Cricetulus griseus: one gene and its partners. The main gene of each other region encodes a partner of the protein of the gene in region 2 in a complex. Links are inferred from orthologs where the notes say so. Each region holds a gene or a part of one and is shown on either strand. Other genes may lie near its edges.

What was found.
Region 1: the proteins of Ppp2r5c (region 2) and Crybg1 are in contact, whole or in part, in a crystal structure (PDB 6VRO), measured with the Homo sapiens proteins. The link is inferred for Cricetulus griseus from reciprocal best matches to the Homo sapiens genes PPP2R5C and CRYBG1. Residues at the interface, in NP_002710.2 of Homo sapiens: Lys183, Thr184, His187, Tyr190, Gly191, Leu194, Arg197, Ala198, Arg201, Glu226, Ile227, Ser230, Ile231, Asn233, Gly234, Phe235, Ala236, Lys240, Glu242, His243, Pro265, Gln266, Tyr269; in NP_001358171.1 of Homo sapiens: Pro1136, Phe1138, Ala1139, Met1140, Pro1141, Pro1142, Ile1143, His1144, Glu1145, Asp1146, His1147, Glu1149.
Region 3: the proteins of Ppp2r5c (region 2) and Ppme1 are in contact, whole or in part, in a cryo-EM structure (PDB 7SOY), measured with the Homo sapiens proteins. The link is inferred for Cricetulus griseus from reciprocal best matches to the Homo sapiens genes PPP2R5C and PPME1. Residues at the interface, in NP_002710.2 of Homo sapiens: Asp180, His187, Arg188, Tyr190, Gly191, Leu194, Arg197, Ser230, Ile231, Gly234, Phe235, Ala236, Lys240, His243, Asp313, Gln341, Tyr348, Glu353, Tyr354, Glu399; in NP_057231.1 of Homo sapiens: Arg37, Lys38, Arg39, Asn192, Lys217, Val251, Glu252, Gly253, Ile254, Ile255, Glu256, Glu257, Pro345, Gln346.

The regions. Positions count from the first base shown.
Region 1 is NC_048595.1:266,254,374-266,258,026, forward strand, and holds part of Crybg1 (beta/gamma crystallin domain-containing protein 1), read right to left. Parts: intron 621-3,653; coding exon 1-620. UniProt on the Homo sapiens protein: May function as suppressor of malignant melanoma. It may exert its effects through interactions with the cytoskeleton.
Region 2 is NC_048598.1:183,452,543-183,456,195, forward strand, and holds part of Ppp2r5c (serine/threonine-protein phosphatase 2A 56 kDa regulatory subunit gamma isoform), read right to left. Parts: exon of another isoform or gene 3,579-3,653; intron 3,388-3,578; coding exon 3,217-3,387; intron 1-3,216.
Region 3 is NC_048596.1:99,185,415-99,189,067, reverse strand, and holds part of Ppme1 (protein phosphatase methylesterase 1), read right to left. Parts: intron 1,089-3,653; coding exon 934-1,088; intron 1-933. UniProt on the Homo sapiens protein: Demethylates proteins that have been reversibly carboxymethylated. Demethylates PPP2CB (in vitro) and PPP2CA. Binding to PPP2CA displaces the manganese ion and inactivates the enzyme.

The DNA of each region.
Region 1 (3,653 bases), on a different chromosome or scaffold from region 2:
AATTAAGAATGGTGGGGATGTCCTGTGCCGTGTCACTCACGTTGTCAAGTACAAGGTTTTTGCTGTCAGCAGCCTCTGGGTGGAGCTCTCCTGAGAGCTCAGGGTCCTCCACAGGAACCCGAGCAGTGGGCACCTGCTGTGAAGGACATAAGGCAGCATCTGTTTGCACATCCGCCTTATCACTTTGATTAGGCTCAGGGCAGAGGACCTGATCCTCTGTGGCTTCTCTTCCCCCTCCACTGGAGGCCAGAAGAATCTCTTCTCTGGAGCTAGGGACTTCCACGCCTTTGGCATCTGTGGATGATTCCTTGGCCACCAGGCCATTCTGGTGGCTGGTTGATAAGGCTTTCTTTTCAGGTTGCTCCATTTCCTTGGCTTTCTTGGCTAAGTTTAGCTTAGCTCTCCCAACAAATGTCTTATTAGAGGGAGGGTTGTTCCTTGTGGTACGGATGTCAGGGTGTCTAGGGCTACTGTTAGCCCGCTTGTTTTCAAATAAAGAGATTTTGTTGGCAGTGTTTCCTTTATGAACTGGTTGGCTAAATGGATTGTGCTCATTGCCCAGACTGTCAGGGTTCTTCGGGTTTTTCAAATTGAGTTCCACATGTTTGGGTCTAGCAGGGCTGCAAGAAAAAAAGCAGTGGGCAGTTAGCAGCCAGTCTGGTGTTAAGTGATCATGTAAACCAGATCAGCTCAGAAAGACTACAAACTTCATACCCTCCAGGTGTAGACTTGCTTTTCCCTGAAACTTCTTAAACAATCCTACAAATATTAGGAAGTATTTTTAAGGGATCTCTTACCTATATTTGAGAGAAGAGATTATAAATCTAAGAAACTATCAACTTACCAAGTATTAATATGAAATCACAGTGATTGGCAATCAATTAATATGCATTCACAATGACTGTCACTTGAATTGGAAGACATTACAAGGTATAAGGAACTTTAGAACAAATTTAAATATTTAATGCATTCCCATATTCTCAATATGTGGATGAGCTTCCCAGACATCAATTATGCATTTTTGTTTCTTGTAATGTTTTATTCACCTTTAGTTATGGGGGGACAAATTGCCATGTGGTTCAGGCAGACCTCCAGCTCACTGCTTGTCTAAAGATAACTTTGAATTCCTGATCTTCCTGCCTCTATCTCCCAAGTACTGGGTTATAGGCAAGCCCAACCTTCTGATAACTTTTTAAAAACTATCTTGTAGAGAGGACAGAAGAGATGGTTCAGTGGTTAAGAGCACTGGCTCTTAACTGAGTTCGATTGCCAGCACCTACATGGCAACTCAAAAACAACTATATCTCCAGTTCCAGGGGAATCCAGCACCCTTTCCTGGCCTCTGTAGGCATTGCATGCACGTAATCACATGCAGGCCAAACACCCATACACAGAAATTAAAACTTTTAAATAAAAAGAAAAATAAAAACAGTTCTAAGCTCCCTGTTAAAAGCTACTTTAAAAGGTAGAGTATAAAACATACTCATCTAGTATTGGCTCTTAGGATATTTTGTTTCTACCATTCTGCCATCCATCCCTTAAAATTATTCTGATGTATGTGTGTTCACTATCTGAAATTTGTCAAGTATATATGTATATTTTTAGGTGTGTGTGTGTGTGTGTGTGTGTGTGTGTGTGTGTGTGTGTATGTATGTATGTACTTGTGTGAATTCAGAAAACAATCATGGGTGTCACACCTCTGTCTTGTTGAGGCACAGCCTCTCTTGTTCACCACTGCACACATCATTGCTATCAGGCCTGGAAGCTGCCAGCCATTTCTTGGCTCCCCCTTTCACCTTGATATAGGAGTGTTGAGATTGCAGACACACCCCCAGGAACAGCTTTTATATGGGTCTTAGGGATTAGAACTCAGGTCCTGAGCTGTCTCTCCTGACCTGGAAAGTTTTTTCTTAAATCATTCATAAACCTGTTGTCAACATTCTGCCTCATTCCCAATGGTTCCCTCTACATAAATATTTTATTAGAATGGAAACTGCTATGTTCACAGGGCTTGGCAGCTTGCCTCTTGCTAAGAAAAAGGATGAGTTATCATCAGAACTTACAAGTCCCTGAAATTTTTTCCTTAAAATGTTTGTGTAAAATTCCATCGTATGGCTATACCATAATTTGTTTACTCTTGGGCAGTCTGCCCTCTCTTTCACATTTCTTAGGTCTAATTACTTACCATGGGAAATAATGCCTTTGAATGGACACAGTGTGCTCTTTCATAGAAGCAAAATGTGTTCTCTTGTCATTTGCTGGCCCTGGCCACAGCCCTGGCTCTCACATTAATATCTGTAACTAGCCAAATTATTTCACACCTCTGGCCTGTTCTCTTTTGTATCTATAACTTAAAAGGTGACACCAAACACCTAAACGGTTTAGAACACAGTTATTTTTATTTCACCCCAAACTTACAGTTAAGGGAATTTTTGGACGTCCCCTTGAAGGGTTACACTAGGGTTAAGAGAGGCTGTAGGACTGGGAGGCTCCCCACAGCTGCTTTCAGTCAAGATCATTCTCACTTTTCTATTTTATAAAGCACTTTATATCAGTGTTCCTGGGGCAGGCAGAGGGGCTTGTCAGTTTGTAGTAAAAGAAAACCACAGGTCACCAGGCACTTGACAGGGTTATATCATTTGGTTTATCCCATGTACAGCTTGCATGTTCTGTTCTAAATCAAGAAAACTGAGGTATAGAGAAAGTAAACGACTCTCTTGAGGTCACATAGCTAGTGACAGGACTTTGTCCCCAACACCACATTATTCCATACTACCCTGCTTCCCTATTAGGAGTCAGACTAGACAGACCTGAATAAGCCCTTAGCTGCTTTCCATTGTATCACTGGAGTTAGGGATAGAGGTGGGGTGGGGGACCTGGGGAAGGTTGGGAGTGAATGGAAGGATGAGGGTGAGGGTTCAATGCATAATCAAGTTTATCAGATAAGGAAATCCCAAGTTCTACAGATTGGCACCATACACCTCACAGTCCCCAAGAAGGTGGGACCTGTTGAGTCCCCAGAGGAATAAAAAAACGAGAAGCCCAGGTTACATTATCTGAGTTTGACATGTGTTCATAAATTTCTTCCAGCACTGCTTTCTCTATTATCTCCATAAATGCCCAGGTGTTGTTATTGTCGGCTCACATCTTAAGTTTAAGAGCCAAATAAAAGCCAGACTTGGTGGCCACTGCCTGTAATCTAGAGGCAGGAGAATCAGGAGTTCAAGGTCACCCTTGGCAACCAGAGTGAGTTGGAGGCCAGCTTGGGCTACATGAGACCTGTCTCAAAAAACAAAGTCTGAGCCAGTGAGACAAGAAGAAACACAGGGTTTTCAAGTGCTGTGTTAATTAATGAATGAGCAAAGGTGACATCCGAGAAATATATTTTTTTTAAATGTGGCCAGTCAGCACAAGAAGGTGTACAGCAGTGGACATCAAAGTGCATCCGGGATGCAAGTAGAAAGCACTCCAGGTAAGCCCATGGCTCCTGGAGGGTAGGAAGCATGTCTGCTTATTAAAGATTTACACCGGATCAAAGCATCTTTTACAACTCAAACTCTCTACCATTAAACTGTGCTACCAAGAGTCAGTGCAATTAACCCAGCTGGGGCTGATTAAAAGGAAGGCTCCTCTAATTCATGTTGTAATGCCTT
Region 2 (3,653 bases):
CCAGCCTGGTCTACAGAGGGAGTTCCAGGACAGCCAGAGCTGTTACACAGAGAAACCCCGTCTCGAAAAACCAAAAACCAAAAACAAACAAGCAAAACCCCCCACCAGATACATAAAGGGGGCGGGGCAGTGAGATGGCAGGGTAAGGGTACTGTGACCAAGCTTAATGCCCTTAGTCTGATGTCTTGAATCCACGTGGTAGAGACAATTGAGTCTTCCACACACATCCTCTGTGGTACCATAAAATAAGTAAATGTGAAGTACACAATGCACGCACGCGCGTGTACACACACACACACACACACACACACACACACACACACACACAGTTTAAGGATGCCTCACTATTGCTCACGCTGAGCATCTTGCCTGAGCTTTCCACATGCTGAGAATAAAGGTGAGCACCACCGTGAACAGCAAGTAATCCCAGTACTCGGGAGGCAAAGGCAGGCGGATCTCTGTGAGTTTGAGACCAGCCTGGTCTATAAGAGCGAGTGCCAGGACAGCTATACAGGGAAACCCTGTCTCGAAAAACCAAAAAAAAAAAAACCAAAAACCAAAAACAACCCCCCCCAACCCCAACCAAAAAAAAAAAAAAAAAAAAAAAAAACAACAACAAACAAAACAAAAAACCCAACTATGGAGGTCAGGCCAACCTCAAGTTTATGATCTCCCCAGCTCAGGCCCTAAGTGTGGTGATTATAGGTGTGTGTCATTATGCCCGACCAATACCTTTACCTACATTATTATTATTTTCAAAATTACATTTGTCTATCACGTGTGTACATGTCTGTGGTGTGGCACACCTGTAGCCCTGTGGACAATGTGGAGGGGTTGGTTCTCTCCTTTTACTATGTGAGGCCTAGGAGCAAACTCATCAAGTTTGGGGACAAGCACCTTCCCTGGTGAGCCGTCTTGCTGGCCCTGTATTTTAGTTTATTGTAGGGGTACACACATATATAGTATGTGTACACACGTGAGCATGTGCTATGATGTGTGTCTGGTAGAGGCTAACTCTGAGTCCATTCTCTTCCCCCCACTTTCTGGGTTCTGATATTGAAATCAGGTCACCAGGCTTGCAAGGCAAGTGGCTTTAACTGTACAGGCCATCTTGCTGGCCCCAACACCTTCTTTTCTTTTCTTTCTTTCTGGCCTGGGGCTTGATATGTAACTCAGGCTGGCCTTGAACTCATGGAGACTATAGAGAACATTTACCTATCCATAAATATTTTTGGATATAATATTTCAAGACTGCACATTAGAAAATAAAAGATAGGGTGCTTAAAGGTGCAAATTGTAAATTTTGTTTTAGTTTTTTGTTTTGTTTTGTTCTGTTTTTTTGAGACAGGGTTTCTCTGTGTAGCTTTGGAGCCTGTCCTGGCACTCGCTCTGGAGACCAGGCTGGCATCGAACTCACAGAGATCCGCCTGCCTCTGCTCCTGAGTGCTGGGATTAAAGGTGTGCACCACCGACATCTGGCTTGTTTTAGTTTTTAACACAAATGCTTTTTTTCCCTTTCTTTCTTTGAGAAACAGTAGCCAGCCTGGAACTTGCAATCCTCCTGCCTCAGTTTAGGGATTAACTACTGCACTCAGCTGTCTTATTAAAGAGAACTTGCCGTTTACTTCTCTGGTATGCTTCCAATACCATCACTCTCCTAGCTCAGCAGCAGCCGTGCACACTCAGTACTTTAGAATGCTCTTCCCAGTTCACCACCACCCCCGCTGGACTGCCAGGTGCTGGCTTTTGACCAATGTGACACACAGTATTCCATTTCAGATTTCCTTAATGCTGGGCCCTTGATGGGGATGCACAACTCACTTTGTCCCATCTGCTTGTACTGACACACAGCCACATGTACTTCCGACTTACCTTTCAAAAAGTATGTAATTGATCTATTTTGTGTGTGTAGATCATGTGTGTGTGTGTGTGTGGCAGGGATGGAGGCACTTGTATACCATAGTGTGTGTGTGTGTGTGTGTGTGTGTGTGTGTGTGTGTGTGTGTGTATGCAGAGGACAACTCTGGGGAGTTGGTTCTCTCTTTCCACCATGTAGACCCCAGATATCCAACACAGATCGTCTGGCCTGGCAACAGGCACCTTCATCTGCTGAGCCATTTCACTGGCCCCCTTCTATTTTTTTTATAACAACCTGGAGTCTAGAGTTGACTGACTCCAAAGATAATGTCTCTTCTACAGCCACCATCTCTCTGTTTTAGGTGCAAGACAACCACGAGAAGCTACCAAGACGGCTGGGGATGGGGGGTTTGGGTGAGAAAGTGAAAAAAACACTACATAGAAAAAACATCTGATTAAGAAAGAGCTGGCCACATGTTTCCGGGCGATTCTAGAATGTACTTGGTATTGATCCGGGTCCATCAAGAAAGCAGGAATGGAGACTGGACTTCTTACAAGGAAGAACAAAGTGTCTTGGCAGTGAATGAGAGATGCTAGGCTGTTACCAGTGGAAAATGAGGGTGGCCAAACCCTGAAATCCTTTAGCCACCATCATCCACCAGAGGTGTCTGTGTCTCCTGGAGCAGACTCGGCATTGAGGACCCTCCACACAGAGCCTTTCCGGAATGAGGAAAGGAGTCACTGGGACCAGCAAACTGAGATGGGGAGTGTGGCAGCCGGCAGCCACCGTGCAGAAAGTCCAGGTTTGCTTCTGCTCAAGAGGAACCTCTAGGCAGGATGACAGGGAAGGCTGCTCTGCCAGGGCCAATCCAGCCAATATTCCAACACGGGTGGGGGTGTGGCTCACAAGGCCCCACCTCTAGCTGAAGTTACAGGTAGTCAGCAGCTGCTGGGAAAAGAGCCGGCTTTCTCAAGGAGTGTGCCCCTAGTAGGCTATGGCTCCTACAGTGGACAGCCCTATACTCCATAGGTTTTCAGTGATGAGAGTAGGGCAAGAATTGCAACTACAGAGAACTAAATAAAATCATATTTTATTTTTGAGTATAGGGTCTCTTTATAGCCCAGGCTGATGTCAGCTTGTAGCAATTCTTCTGCCTTAGCTTCCCAAGTATTGGGGTTACAGAAATGAGTCTTCCTACCTGGCTAAAATTTAAGCATCTAATTTTGAAGTACATGCCAAGTAAAAAAAAAAACTGAACATTGCCCCCAGATCGCAGCAAAACCAGAGTACACGCAGCTTCACACCGAGAACACCATTTCAACAGGAGCACCTGACCACTGTCACCCAGACCTGCATACCTGGAAGTGAGGGCTGGAAACACACTTGGCTAATTGTCGAAAAAGAGGCTCCATGATCTTCACAAATTCTGATGGTTCAATTACATCTAAAATTTCTTCTAATTCATTTAAGAACATTACTTCTTTTGGACTGTGAGTCTTTGGCCAGTATTTGAGAAGTGCCATTACCACCTGAAAAACAACAGCAGCAAACAGTGACGCCTATGCGTTGCCAATGCACAGAGAAGATGTCTGTGCTCCCATTAGATGTTCCCACTGCAGCGCAACAGGGGAGATGGCGCTGAGAATCAGCACCAGCATGCTTCTCTCATCAATAGTCTAGTTTTACACACTTCTTTAATCAATTAGTTAATTTACTGTATGGATGTGGCAATGGCCACTATCATGCTTCAGTCACAGAGTCCAGTCCACTGGCGTCAGTGAAAATCCGACTGCCT
Region 3 (3,653 bases), on a different chromosome or scaffold from region 2:
TCTCTTTTTCACTTTGGTGATTGTTTCTTTTCTAAACAGAAGCTTCTTAGCTTCATGGAAATCCAGAAGTTAATTTTTCAGATTATTCCTTGTGCTATTGGAGTCCTACAAACTGTTGCCTACGCCTGTATCATCAAGAGAACAATACTCATGTTTATCTTCATATTCATAATGATGGAATGGCATTGCTTACACAGGAAGAATTCTTCCTCCTCAAGGTTTATGTATTGAAGGTGTATTGACAGTTGGTTGGATAATGAAGACACTATTGACATTAACTTTATCAATATATTAATCCATTGTTGAATGCACACTGTTTGGAGGCAGGGCCGACTTAGAGGAAGCAGGTAACTGGGATAAGCTCTGGGGGAGCACAGTTTCTTCCTAGTCTCCCTCTGTGTGATGTTCTGACACACACATTCTTAAAGCAATGGACCAAAACTTCTGATATCTGACCAAAACGAATCTTTTCTCCTTTAGATTGCTTAACTGAGATATTTTGTCACAGTGGTAAAAACTAACACACTGAGTCAGCTTATGTATTTGTTCCTGGTAATGTCAGAATTCAGTGATGTTTGGGTAAAAATAAAGATCTAGCTTCACGACAGTTTCCACTATGGCTCTCAGCAATTCTTGATTCACTCCTTGTGTGGCACACCACAGTGAGTATGGCTAACTTGTTCAAGGAGCAGTGAGATTCTCGGGGTAAGTCAGAAAATTTTATTAAAAGGCATTCATATGATTAGAAATATTATACAGCCATAAAAAGGTGTTAATGGAGAGTTTCTGGTAATACAGAAAATGGTTGTATAATTTTATAAAGGCACAAAGACATAGAGGCATACTTCAAGATGAGTGAAACTGAGAACAAATATGGCCAAGGTAATAATGTACCAGGAATATCTCTTATAAATTACTGAACCCAAAACTTACCTTCCACAACATCAATCATACAGAGGCCTAAGAGGCTTGGTACCAGGTTAGCTGATGCTGTGTGAACTGCAATGGCACCACCCATGCTGTGCCCGATCAGCATGACTGGAGGAGGGAGGTCCCCGTACATAGCTTCAACCACATTGCCAACATCCCTGCAAAGAGAGAAACCTTAGAGTGCTGGAGGTAGACACCAAAAATACCTTTCTTTCTTAGTTCCTTCTTTTGGGCTGTAACTAATAGTTGTGGGAAACAGTAAAGATCTACAGACCCACCCTACAAACACATCTATATGAGCCTGCTTACATGGTTCCTGGTATCTATGCAGAGAGCCACACACCCAGTTCTCCAGATAAATGCCTGGCTAAGGACTAAGAACTCTCAATTTCTGATCTTTATATCATCATTTTATCATCCTATACATGTAGTACATTCATATAAACATATAACTGTATGTTTAACCTCAGCTTGGCATTCTGGAGAAATAATTTACTGTAAGCCTCTGTTTTCCCAAGTATGATGCAATGAAGTTTGGGGTAATAAGATGACTGTGAGCCTCAGTTTATTTATATTACGTGTGTGTGTGTGTGTGTGTGTGTGTGTGTGTGTGTGTGTGTGTGTGTGTGTACATATGGAAATCAGAGGATAATTTGCAAGAGTTACTTTGAGCAATGAGTAAGAAGTGAATGTGAAATTCTTATCCACAAGTTAAAGGACTATTCAAAAGAAAAGACTCGCCGGGCATTGGTAGCGCATGCCTTTAGTCCTAGCACTCAGTAGGCAGAGGCAGGCAGATCTCTGTGAGTTTGAGGCCAGCCTGGTCTACAGAACGAGTTCCAGGACAACCTCCAAAGCAACACAGAAAAACCCTGTCTTGAAAAACAAAACAAAACAAAAACAACAACAACAACAACAAAAAACCCTAAGCTTCCTTCAAGCAGCATTGCTTCTAAAGACAAGACACCCTGTGAAAGGTAAAGTAATATAAGTGAAAGGAAAAACTACAATTTATTCAGTGTTTCTATGATTACTGAATGTCTCTCTCAAACTCATATATTTGCAAGTTAGCACTTTATCTGTTGGAAAAACAAATAAACATTGATAAAAATTAAGCATTACTGAGGCTGGAGAGATGGCTCAGCAGTTAAGAGGACCTGCTGTTCTTCCAGAGAACCCAGGTTCAGTTCCTAACACCCACAAGCCAGCTCACAACAATTTTGCTGGGAGTTGGTGACATCTGCCTTTAATCCCAGCACTTGGCAGACACAGGTGGATCACTGAGTTTGAGGCCAGCCAGGTCTACAAAGTAAGTTCCAGGACAGCAAGAGCTGTTACAAAGAGAAACCCTGTCTTCAAAAACCAAACCAAACCAAACCAAACAAACAAACAAAAAAGCCAGAACGATAAAGATAATCAGTGTTCATTCTTACTGGCTTTTGTTCTAGTCCTACAGTAAAGGTAGGACTTACAAAAGTGACTGGGTCATAAGGGGCTTGCCTCCTGAGTGAATTAACCCTTTACAGATTAATAAGTGGATCACAGATTATAAAGAGCACTCTCCCTGACTCACAGCTGTCTCACTACGTGAAATCCTCCATCATGCTATAATTCAAGACTAGCATCAGGCTCTAGACTTCTCGGACTCTAGAACACTGAGCCTAAATAAACCAACATTCTTTATGAATCACCAAATCTGTGGTCTCAGTGATGCAGAAATGGAAGGCAAGTTCCCATCATGTACTATGAGCTTTCTGTGTCATCTAGTGTAATTCTTCAGCAACCTTGTCTAAAAGGGTCCTTACTACTATTCCACAAGGAAGAAACTCAGACATATTTACCTGTAAAAATAACCAAGTCAATTAAGCTAATTGGGTCCACCAAAATATCACTGCATTTCCACCAAAGGGAGAAAAAAAAAAAAAAACCAAAAAACCTTCTGATTTCTGCTACCACGCTTAGTATATTTAAAGCCCTTTCTTTTGGAATCTAGCACTGTGGATCCAGAGTGATTCCATGAAGTCAACCCCATGATGCTTTGGCTCAGAGACTGCTAGTAAACTTCAAAAACAAAGATGACTTAGATAAGGAACAGTCTCTGGAAAAAGTAATGTAGGAGATTTATACGGTTTCAGAAAAGTAAAACCAAGTAGTATTCCTATATATCAACAGAACAGAAAAAAAAGTATGCTCATTCCTATATAAAGATATATGTATATGCACAGACAGACATGTACTAGAGGTTCAATTAATTATTCTCAAGCTATGTATGCTATGATTATATTATTTGGACGTATCTTTTATTAAGATTTAGAACAAATATCAATGTATAAACTCCACAATAATTTGCAATTCTAACAAAATTTTAGTGGGGAAGGATAAAATTAATAAAATAAAATGTTTTGGAAGACATCAAATTCCACACCTTAAAATATGCATTAATTGAGTTAAGACACTCTCTATGAAAGTTGTTAACGTATTAAGGTAGACAAGGTCTAAAATGCATGACAACTGGGGCTATATAGATGGCTCAGTGGTTAAGAACATTGGCTGCAATGAGGCAGTGGTGGTGCATGCCTTTAATCATAGCACTGGGGAGGCAGAGCAGAGGCAGGTGGATCTCTGAGTTCAAGGTCAGCCTAGTCTACAGAGAGGGTTCCAGGACAGCCTGAGCTACACAGAGAAACCCTGTTGTGAGAAAACAAAACAGAACAGAACAGCAC